Macaca mulatta: one gene and its partner. The protein of the gene in region 1 purifies or fractionates together with the protein of each later gene. This does not show direct contact. Links are inferred from orthologs where the notes say so. Each region holds a gene or a part of one and is shown on either strand. Other genes may lie near its edges.

Region 1 (4,049 bases):
GGCTAGAGTCAGTGACCATAGCTAATTACATAACTCGGTGTTAACTACATTTCCTGGGCCCTTTCAACCACATCTGAAGTTTCCTTCACTTTCTTCACCTGTACCAGCACCAGTAGCGCTGGTGAGTACCCAATTGTTTGCTGTTTACAAAGTAGATTCATCGTAAAGCTTCTAATATAGTAACAATACAAGGCTTTAGTCTCACCATTTATTTTCTCTCCCATTTAAACAACTTCAAGAGACAGGTTAAGAAAAAAATCAGGTGATTAAAGTAGATGGAACTACTGAGACTACCGTCCCTTCTTACTCAATCTTGAGCCCTTAGTGCCAGATGGCAGATAGCAATTCAAAAAGCTCTCCCTCCAATTATAAATATCACACGTACTAGATAGAGGAAGCTCCCAGTTCTGACCAAGCTTTGTGTGATCTCAACCAAGCAGTTATGCTCCATCTTTTTGTCCATCTCTAACCTACTCCTTTCACTTGGAAGGTAATTAACAACGGCGACCACAATCTACCGCAAGTCTCCCGTGTCCACGTAAAATACTCGCCATTGCCCCCAGTCTTAGCCGTTTAAGTAAATGTCCCCAGTCTTTTACTACGATCACTCCTCCTCCATTCGCAACAAACTAGGACCGAAAGGTCCACATGATCCTTCTTCCTTTCCGATTAAGCCGGGGGAGTAGGAAGTGAAAGATATACTTTGAAGGTAAACTGAAAAGTCGGTTTTTGGATCCCCAGCAAGCCCTTGCCTTAATGCCGGGTGGTAAGAGAGTCCCTCCCTAGGATGTAAAGCGATGCCACCATCCCGAGTGCCACTACTGACGCTCAAGCCTACGCCCCCTCACCTGAGCGCAGCCCCTACTCCCCGAGGCCCCGCCCACGCACTCTCACCTGAGAACAGCACCAGCTCCCCACAGCGACACCGCCCGCGCCCCACCATATAGCCAGATCACGGCTTCTCCTTCCGGGTGAGTCGCCGGTGCCCCAGTGCACGACGGGAGACGCCCTAACCCCGGCTGCCCAGGACGCCCCGCCTTTACAGGCCCGGGCTCTGAGTGGGATTCCCGCTTCCGAACGGCGCAGTTCCGCTTGCCAAGGCCCGGGACTGGAGTCGGGATCCCCCCTCCACTCACTTGGGACGCTAGAGAGTGGACGCAGGTGCGGGGTGAGGGACGGCGAATGGGCTCGGATATCCAATCCGGGGCCGCTTTCCGCCCACTGTCAGGGGAAGCCAATCAGCGGCCAGGGGGCGTCCGCAACGGTCAGCCAGTGGGTCGCGAGAGCAGAGGGGTGTGAGGGGATTGTTACTCTTGTTCCCTTAATGCGAGGTACGGTCTGCAGTGTGGGAGGTTCGGGGCTTTAGGAAGCCCACATCCCTGGATCCTCACTAAGTCTCGAGAGTCACCATTGGAACCTCGTAGTTTGTTGTTCCCCAGCGGAGCTATCAAGGGGACTCCGATTCCGATTCGTAAAGCCACTGACCGATTGTCAGAGTGAAAGCCAGACTCGAGAGGGTCCGGCGACTCAGATGGCTCACACCAAAACAAACTGGAAGCAGCATCATGCAGCTAGGGAGCAAGAGAAAACCGTTCAATGTGTTGAAGACTTTTGCGATGGTCTTTTAACAACTTATTTAAAGATAATTTCAGCAAGTCTAGCGCGGTGGCTCACGCCTGTAATCCCAACACTTATTAGAGAGGCCGAGGCGGGAGGATCGTTTGAGGCTAGTCTTGAGACACGCCCTACCAAAATTTAGGGAGACTCTCGTCTCTGCAAAAAAAAAATTTAAAAATTAGCCAGGCGTGGTGGCATGTGCCTGTAGTCCCAGCTACTAGGGAGGCTGAGGCAGGAGGAAGTCTTGAACCAGGGGTTCGACGCCGCAGGGAGCCCTGATCTCTGCAGAGCAAGACCCTGTCTGAAAAAAAGAAAAACAGCTAAAAGGAAGAAAAGAAAGGGGCCGAGCACGGTGTCTCACGCCTGTAATTCCACCGCTTTGGGAGCTGGAGGCGGGTGGATTACCTGAGGTCAGGAGTTCGAGACCAGCCTGGCCAACACGGTGAAACCCTGTCTCTACTAAAACTACAAAAATTAGTTGGGCATAGTCATGGGCACCTGTAATCCCAGCTATTCAGGAGACTGACGCAGGGGGATTGCTTGAACCCAGGAGTCGGAGGTTGCAGTGAGCCAAGATTGCGCCATTACACTCCAGCCTGGGAGACTCCATTGTAAAAAAATAAAAATAAAAATAAATTAAGGAAGATAGCTGGATTCTCATATGTGCTTCCCCTTTCTCTGTTGTGCTCTGTTGTTTTGGTACATTAAGAAAATTCAGCCTTAAATAGATATGTAGTTGAGAAAAGGAAGAGTATATTTAGCCTTCTCAAACAATTTTGAATATTCTTCTTTGATACTACCCAAATTCAACAAATGGTAACTTTTCTTTGTTTTTTTGAGACAGGTTCCTGCTCTGTTGCCCAGGCTGGAGTGCAGTGGCAGGATCACAGCTTACTGCAGGCTCAACCTCCAGGGCTCAAGTCATCCTCCCACCTCAGCCGTTGGAGCTGCTGGGACCACAGGTGTGTGCCACCATACTCGGTTAATTTTTTTAATTTTTATACAGATAGAGGCTCCCTATGTTGCCGAGACTGGAAGTGTTTATTTATTTATTTATTTATTTTTTAAGTACACACCACCTTGGAGATGGAGTCATTTCTTAAAGGTTAAGTGGGCCGGGCGCAGTGGCTCACGCCTGTAATCCCAGCACTTTGGGAGGCCGAGACGGGCGGATCACGAGGTCAGGAGATCGAGACCATCCTGGCTAACACGGTGAAACCCCGTCTCTACTAAAAATACAAAATTTTTGTATTTTTACAAAATTTTTAAAAATACAAAATTTTTGTATTTTTGTATTAGTCTCTACTAAAAATACAAAAAACTAGCTGGGCGAGGTGGCGGGCGCCTGTAGTCCCAGCTACTTGGGAGGCTGAGGCAGGAGAATGGCGGGAACCCGGGAGGCGGAGCTTGCAGTGAGCTGAGATCAGGCCACTCACTCCAGCCTGGGCTACCGAGCGAGACTCCGTCTCAAAAAAAAAAAAAGGTTAAGTGCAGGCCAGGCGTGGTGGCTCACACCTATAATCCCAGCACTTTGGGAGGCCGAGGCGGGTGGATCACAAGGTCAGGAGATCGAGACCATCCTGGCTAACACGGTGAAACCCTGTCTCTACTAAAAATACAAAAAATTAGCCGGGCGTGGTGGCGGGCGCCTGTAGTCCCAGCTACTCGGGAGGCTGAGGCAGGAGAGGCAGGAGAATAGCGTGAACCCAGGAGGTGGAGCTTGCAGTGAGCCGAGATCACGCCACTGCACTCCAGTCTGGGAGACACTGCGAGACTCCATCTCAAAAAAAAAAAAAAAAAAGGTTAAGTGCAATAGGGAGTCTGAAGCCATTTAAAAAATACTGGTACAGAATTATGCAGATCAGTCAATGTTAATGCATTTATTCAATGTAAAAAAAATCACATTTATTAAATTCATCACTGATCTCATCAGGAAAGTCTCAAGAAACTGCATACTGACTAGCTGGGATTACAGGCACGTGCCACCATGCCCGGCTAATTTTTGTATTTTTAGTAGAGACGGGGTTTGACCATATTGGTCAGGCTGGTCTTGAACTCCTGACCTCATGATCCACCCGCCTCGGCTTCCCAAAGTGCTGGGATTACAGGTGTGAGCCACCATGCCTGGCCTCACATGTCTTAATATTAAGACAGCCTCGACCTCCTGGGCTCAAGTGATCCTCCTATTCAAGCCTCCTAAGTAGCTGGGACCATAGGTGTATGCCACCATGCCCGGCTAATTTTTTATTATTATTTGTATAGATGAGGTCTCACTATGTTGCCCGGCCTGGTCTTGAACTCCTGAGCTCAAGCAGTTCTCCTACCTCGTCCTTCCAAAATGCTGGAATTACAGGGGTGAGCCACTGTGCCCATTTTTCTTTTCATTTCTTTTTATTTTTTATTTTTTGATTTTTTGAGATGGAGTTTTGCTT
Region 2 (3,500 bases), on another chromosome or scaffold:
TAGGACCCTATCCAGTCAGGCTGGGTCCTGTAGCCAGATGAGTTACAAAAAAACTTGGTCTTCTGGACATTTTGGATTTGCTGAAGTTTGGACTGTGCTGATAATGTTTGTATCAAACTTACTGTGTACTGAACACTGTTCAAGTGCTTTTTCCAAGTGCTTGATACATAGTAACTCATTTAATAATTTTTGTAACAAGTGTGTGAGTTGAGTGCTATTATCGTTCCCATTTTGCAGATTAGTAAATGCAGGCACAGAGGTTAGTGACTGCTGATGAGTAGTGGAGCTGGGTTTCGGCCTCAGGTAGTCAGGATCCAGAGTCCACTCTCCTAACCATTTGCTATACTGTCTCTTCAGAGGGGGATGCGGGAAGATGAGTTTGGCTCTTTCCGGAGGCCTGTGGCAACATCAGGAGGACCCACAGATCTGAGAGTGCTGGAGGGCGACCAGGAAATAGTGCAGCAAGAATGTGTGGAGAGCAGGAAGGGTGAGGACAGGGCTGAGAGGATCCCTGGAAACCTTGATGTTTCCAGGGTAGAGGATTAAAGACACTAAGGAAGAGCAGCCAGAAAACTCTCAGGCCCAGGAGGGTCCGAGGCGGCCCTTGGGGTATAGAGTCTTCCTCCTCGACTGTCAGGACCCTGTGTGGTGGACAGTGTTTCCTCCAGATGCCAGTACAGTGAGGCTGAGATACTTCTTGCTCTGTGCAGCTCCTAGGACGGTGGACTGTCGGGGTCCTGTGGGGTCTGGACATGTCCTCCTCCAGAGAGTTTGGGTTCCTTCAACCTCTGGACACTTCCTCCAGAGTGTCAGGACACTGAGGGCATGGACACTTACCCCGATACTGTCAGGGTGCCCTTGGGTATAGACTAGATCTCCAGGCTGTCTGGATCCCTCTGGGGTGAGGACACTTCTTTTTCCTGTCATGACAGCATGGGTGTGGACACTTCCTAAATCAGACCAGGTCCTCTAGAGTGTGGAGAGCACAAGCTCTTCCTCCAGGTCACTGGGGTCACTGTGAGACATGGACTTCCTACAGATTATCAGGACTCCCTCCTGCTCCCACTGTCAGGAGCCCTCAGGGTGTGGACACCTCCCCACTCCTCCTTCTAGATGGCCAGGTCCTGTGGCATGTGGACATCTCCTCCAGCAGGCCAGCAGGGTTATCTGGACAGGGTGTGGCTGTCTCCTTGCCCAGACTGTCAGGGTCCTCTGTGGTATAGATTGTTCTGCCCAAGATTGTCTCTGTCCCTGTGGGGTGTGACCCTCTCTACTTTACAGTTTCTCAGAGCAGGAGCCTCTCCTTGTCATCAGTATCAGTGCTACAGTGTGGACACCCTCATGTGAGTGTTCCTCAGGCCAGTTTCTGTCACTTTCCAACCATATCACACCCCTAAGGGACCTATGGAAATATATACAGGTATCTGGGGTTGTCACTATGACAGGGCACACTCATGGATTTAAATGGTAAAGGTCCAGGAATGCTAAATGTCCCCCAATGCATGAGACAGTTCTACATAACAAAAATTCATCTCATCCCAAATGCTAACTGCATCCCATCTTAGAATGTGACATTTTTCTGTTGTAGATACTTGTTATCTACTTGCTAGTTATGGCTGTGCTTTAGCCTTGTGCAGCTGGGCACATGGCTAAAGCACATCCCGTTGCCTCCCTTGCACGGAGGTAAGGCCAGTGACTCAGTTCCAGCCAGTGGAGCATGAGCAGAAGTGATGGGTGCTGCATCTAGGCCTGGCCCACTAGGATGGGCCCCTTCTATCCCCGACTTGGCCCGCCTGCTAGGCAATGCTGATGATCTAGTGGTGACTCCAAGGCTTCAAGACACAGCAAAGGCACAGGAGGGAAAGAGCCTCGGTATCCCAGTCGCTGTGTGAAAGGATACCCACCCAAACCCCCACAGTGGACTGTTCCATAAGCAAGCAAACTTGTAATGTGCAAAGTCACTAAGATGAGGGAGTTGTTTTTACAATGGCTGGCTTGCCTAGTACACTCAGCTTTCCCCAGTGTCCTGAAAGTCTAAAGGAGTTAGCCAACCTTTGTCCAAAGCATGTCTCATCCTACTCCAGACTGCGTTCCTTCTGTGCAGACTGGTAAAACAATGCTTCTCAGGCAGATACTGCTTGGTGATAAGATGGGCCCTTGTGAAATGAGAAGAGGAAGTGCCTTTCCAGCTGATGCAGCCCTATGCCAGACCACATGGCCTGATACAAGGAATGCTAAGGCTGCCTGGATCTCAGCTCCCACTTTTCTTCTTTGCTAAGTACCCTGATAAAGTCAACCCAGTGCAGAAGTATTTCGGTGTTTCTGTAACCACCAGCATGGAATACTTGTCCCTGCCCGATGTCCCTATGACACTCTTAGATCAGTGTACCAGGCCTTTCCCACAGGGAAAGCAGGGAGTTGCAGACACACAGTGAGGAGAGCTGGGTGCACACTGTGAACACAGGGTGGGAAGAGCTGCACACACACACTGGTCCCATCTCCCTACCTCTCCCACGTACTCCATGACGAAGCTGTTCTTGCGAATCTTCTCCAGGGTGCGGACGCCCCAGCCACGCCCATCATCCGTGCGGAAGATGCAGAGGTCATATCGGATGCCTTTCTGTACCACGCGATTCGGGCAGTCATAGCCACAGCGGCAGCGGGAGTTGCACTCGTAGATGGGCAGCCCGGCTCGAAGCCGCACCTGGCCCTGGTCATTGTAGGCAAACTTGTGCAGTGATGCCCCCGGGCAGCAGCCTCCAGTGGGTGCCCACAGACAGTCCTGGCACTCGCAGCCCACAGCCACCTGGTTGAGGGTGATGCCCTCACCAACACGGTACTCATTGATGTACACGAAGGCCCGCGGGGGGCCGTCCAGGTCCACCTCATTCTCTACAGTGATGCGTCCCAGATGGCTGCGCTTGGCATTGAGCTCCTGCTCCCAGCGACGGAGCGCCCGCCTCTGCTTGGCCTTCTGCACCAGGTAGTTGGCCAAGCTTGGGTCCAGGTGCCGGGGGGTCTTTGACCGGTGGTGCCGCCGGAGCAGCTCCCTCTCTAAGTCCTTGTGGAACTGCTTGAGAATACGCACACACTTGAGATTCTGCCGTGGCTCCCAGGTGCTCTCTGAGTCTGGATATCCGCGCCATTTCACCAGGTAATATTCCTGTTCCTGTTGGGGGTGGGTAGGGGAACGGTGGTACCATAAGTGGTGAGATCTTTGGGCCAGCCTTCATGGGGCTTCCATGCCAAAGCTGATGGATAACACCTAACCCACCCCACCCCTTTTCTGGAATGACTTCATGCGGTGGTTAAAAAGCATGGGCTCTAGCGTGAGGATTACCAGGTTCAAATCCTGCTCTCCCCCTTACTGTCTGTCCAAACTGTTCCAACTTTTAATTAATCTCCCAAACCCACTCCCCTCCTTGGTCTTCCCCATCATCAGCTCCCTCCTTCTAGCTGTTCAGACCGGAACTCCTGGAGTCATCCTTGAATCCTCTTTT

The links. The genes of interacting proteins can lie anywhere in the genome.
Region 2: the proteins of CBX1 (region 1) and SUV39H1 purify together in Homo sapiens (affinity purification with mass spectrometry; 3 studies listed by BioGRID and IntAct, with this or other methods). This does not show direct contact. The link is inferred for Macaca mulatta from reciprocal best matches to the Homo sapiens genes CBX1 and SUV39H1.

The regions. Positions count from the first base shown.
Region 1 is NC_133421.1:61,909,832-61,913,880, forward strand, and holds the start of CBX1 (chromobox protein homolog 1), read left to right. Parts: upstream 1-1,249; 5' UTR 1,250-1,324; coding exon 1,325-1,331; intron 1,332-2,461; coding exon 2,462-2,579; intron 2,580-4,049. UniProt on the Homo sapiens protein: Component of heterochromatin. Recognizes and binds histone H3 tails methylated at 'Lys-9', leading to epigenetic repression. Interaction with lamin B receptor (LBR) can contribute to the association of the heterochromatin with the inner nuclear membrane.
Region 2 is NC_133426.1:48,776,311-48,779,810, reverse strand, and holds part of SUV39H1 (histone-lysine N-methyltransferase SUV39H1), read right to left. Parts: exon of another isoform or gene 3,170-3,500; coding exon 2,507-3,169; intron 1-2,506. UniProt on the Homo sapiens protein: Histone methyltransferase that specifically trimethylates 'Lys-9' of histone H3 using monomethylated H3 'Lys-9' as substrate. Also weakly methylates histone H1 (in vitro).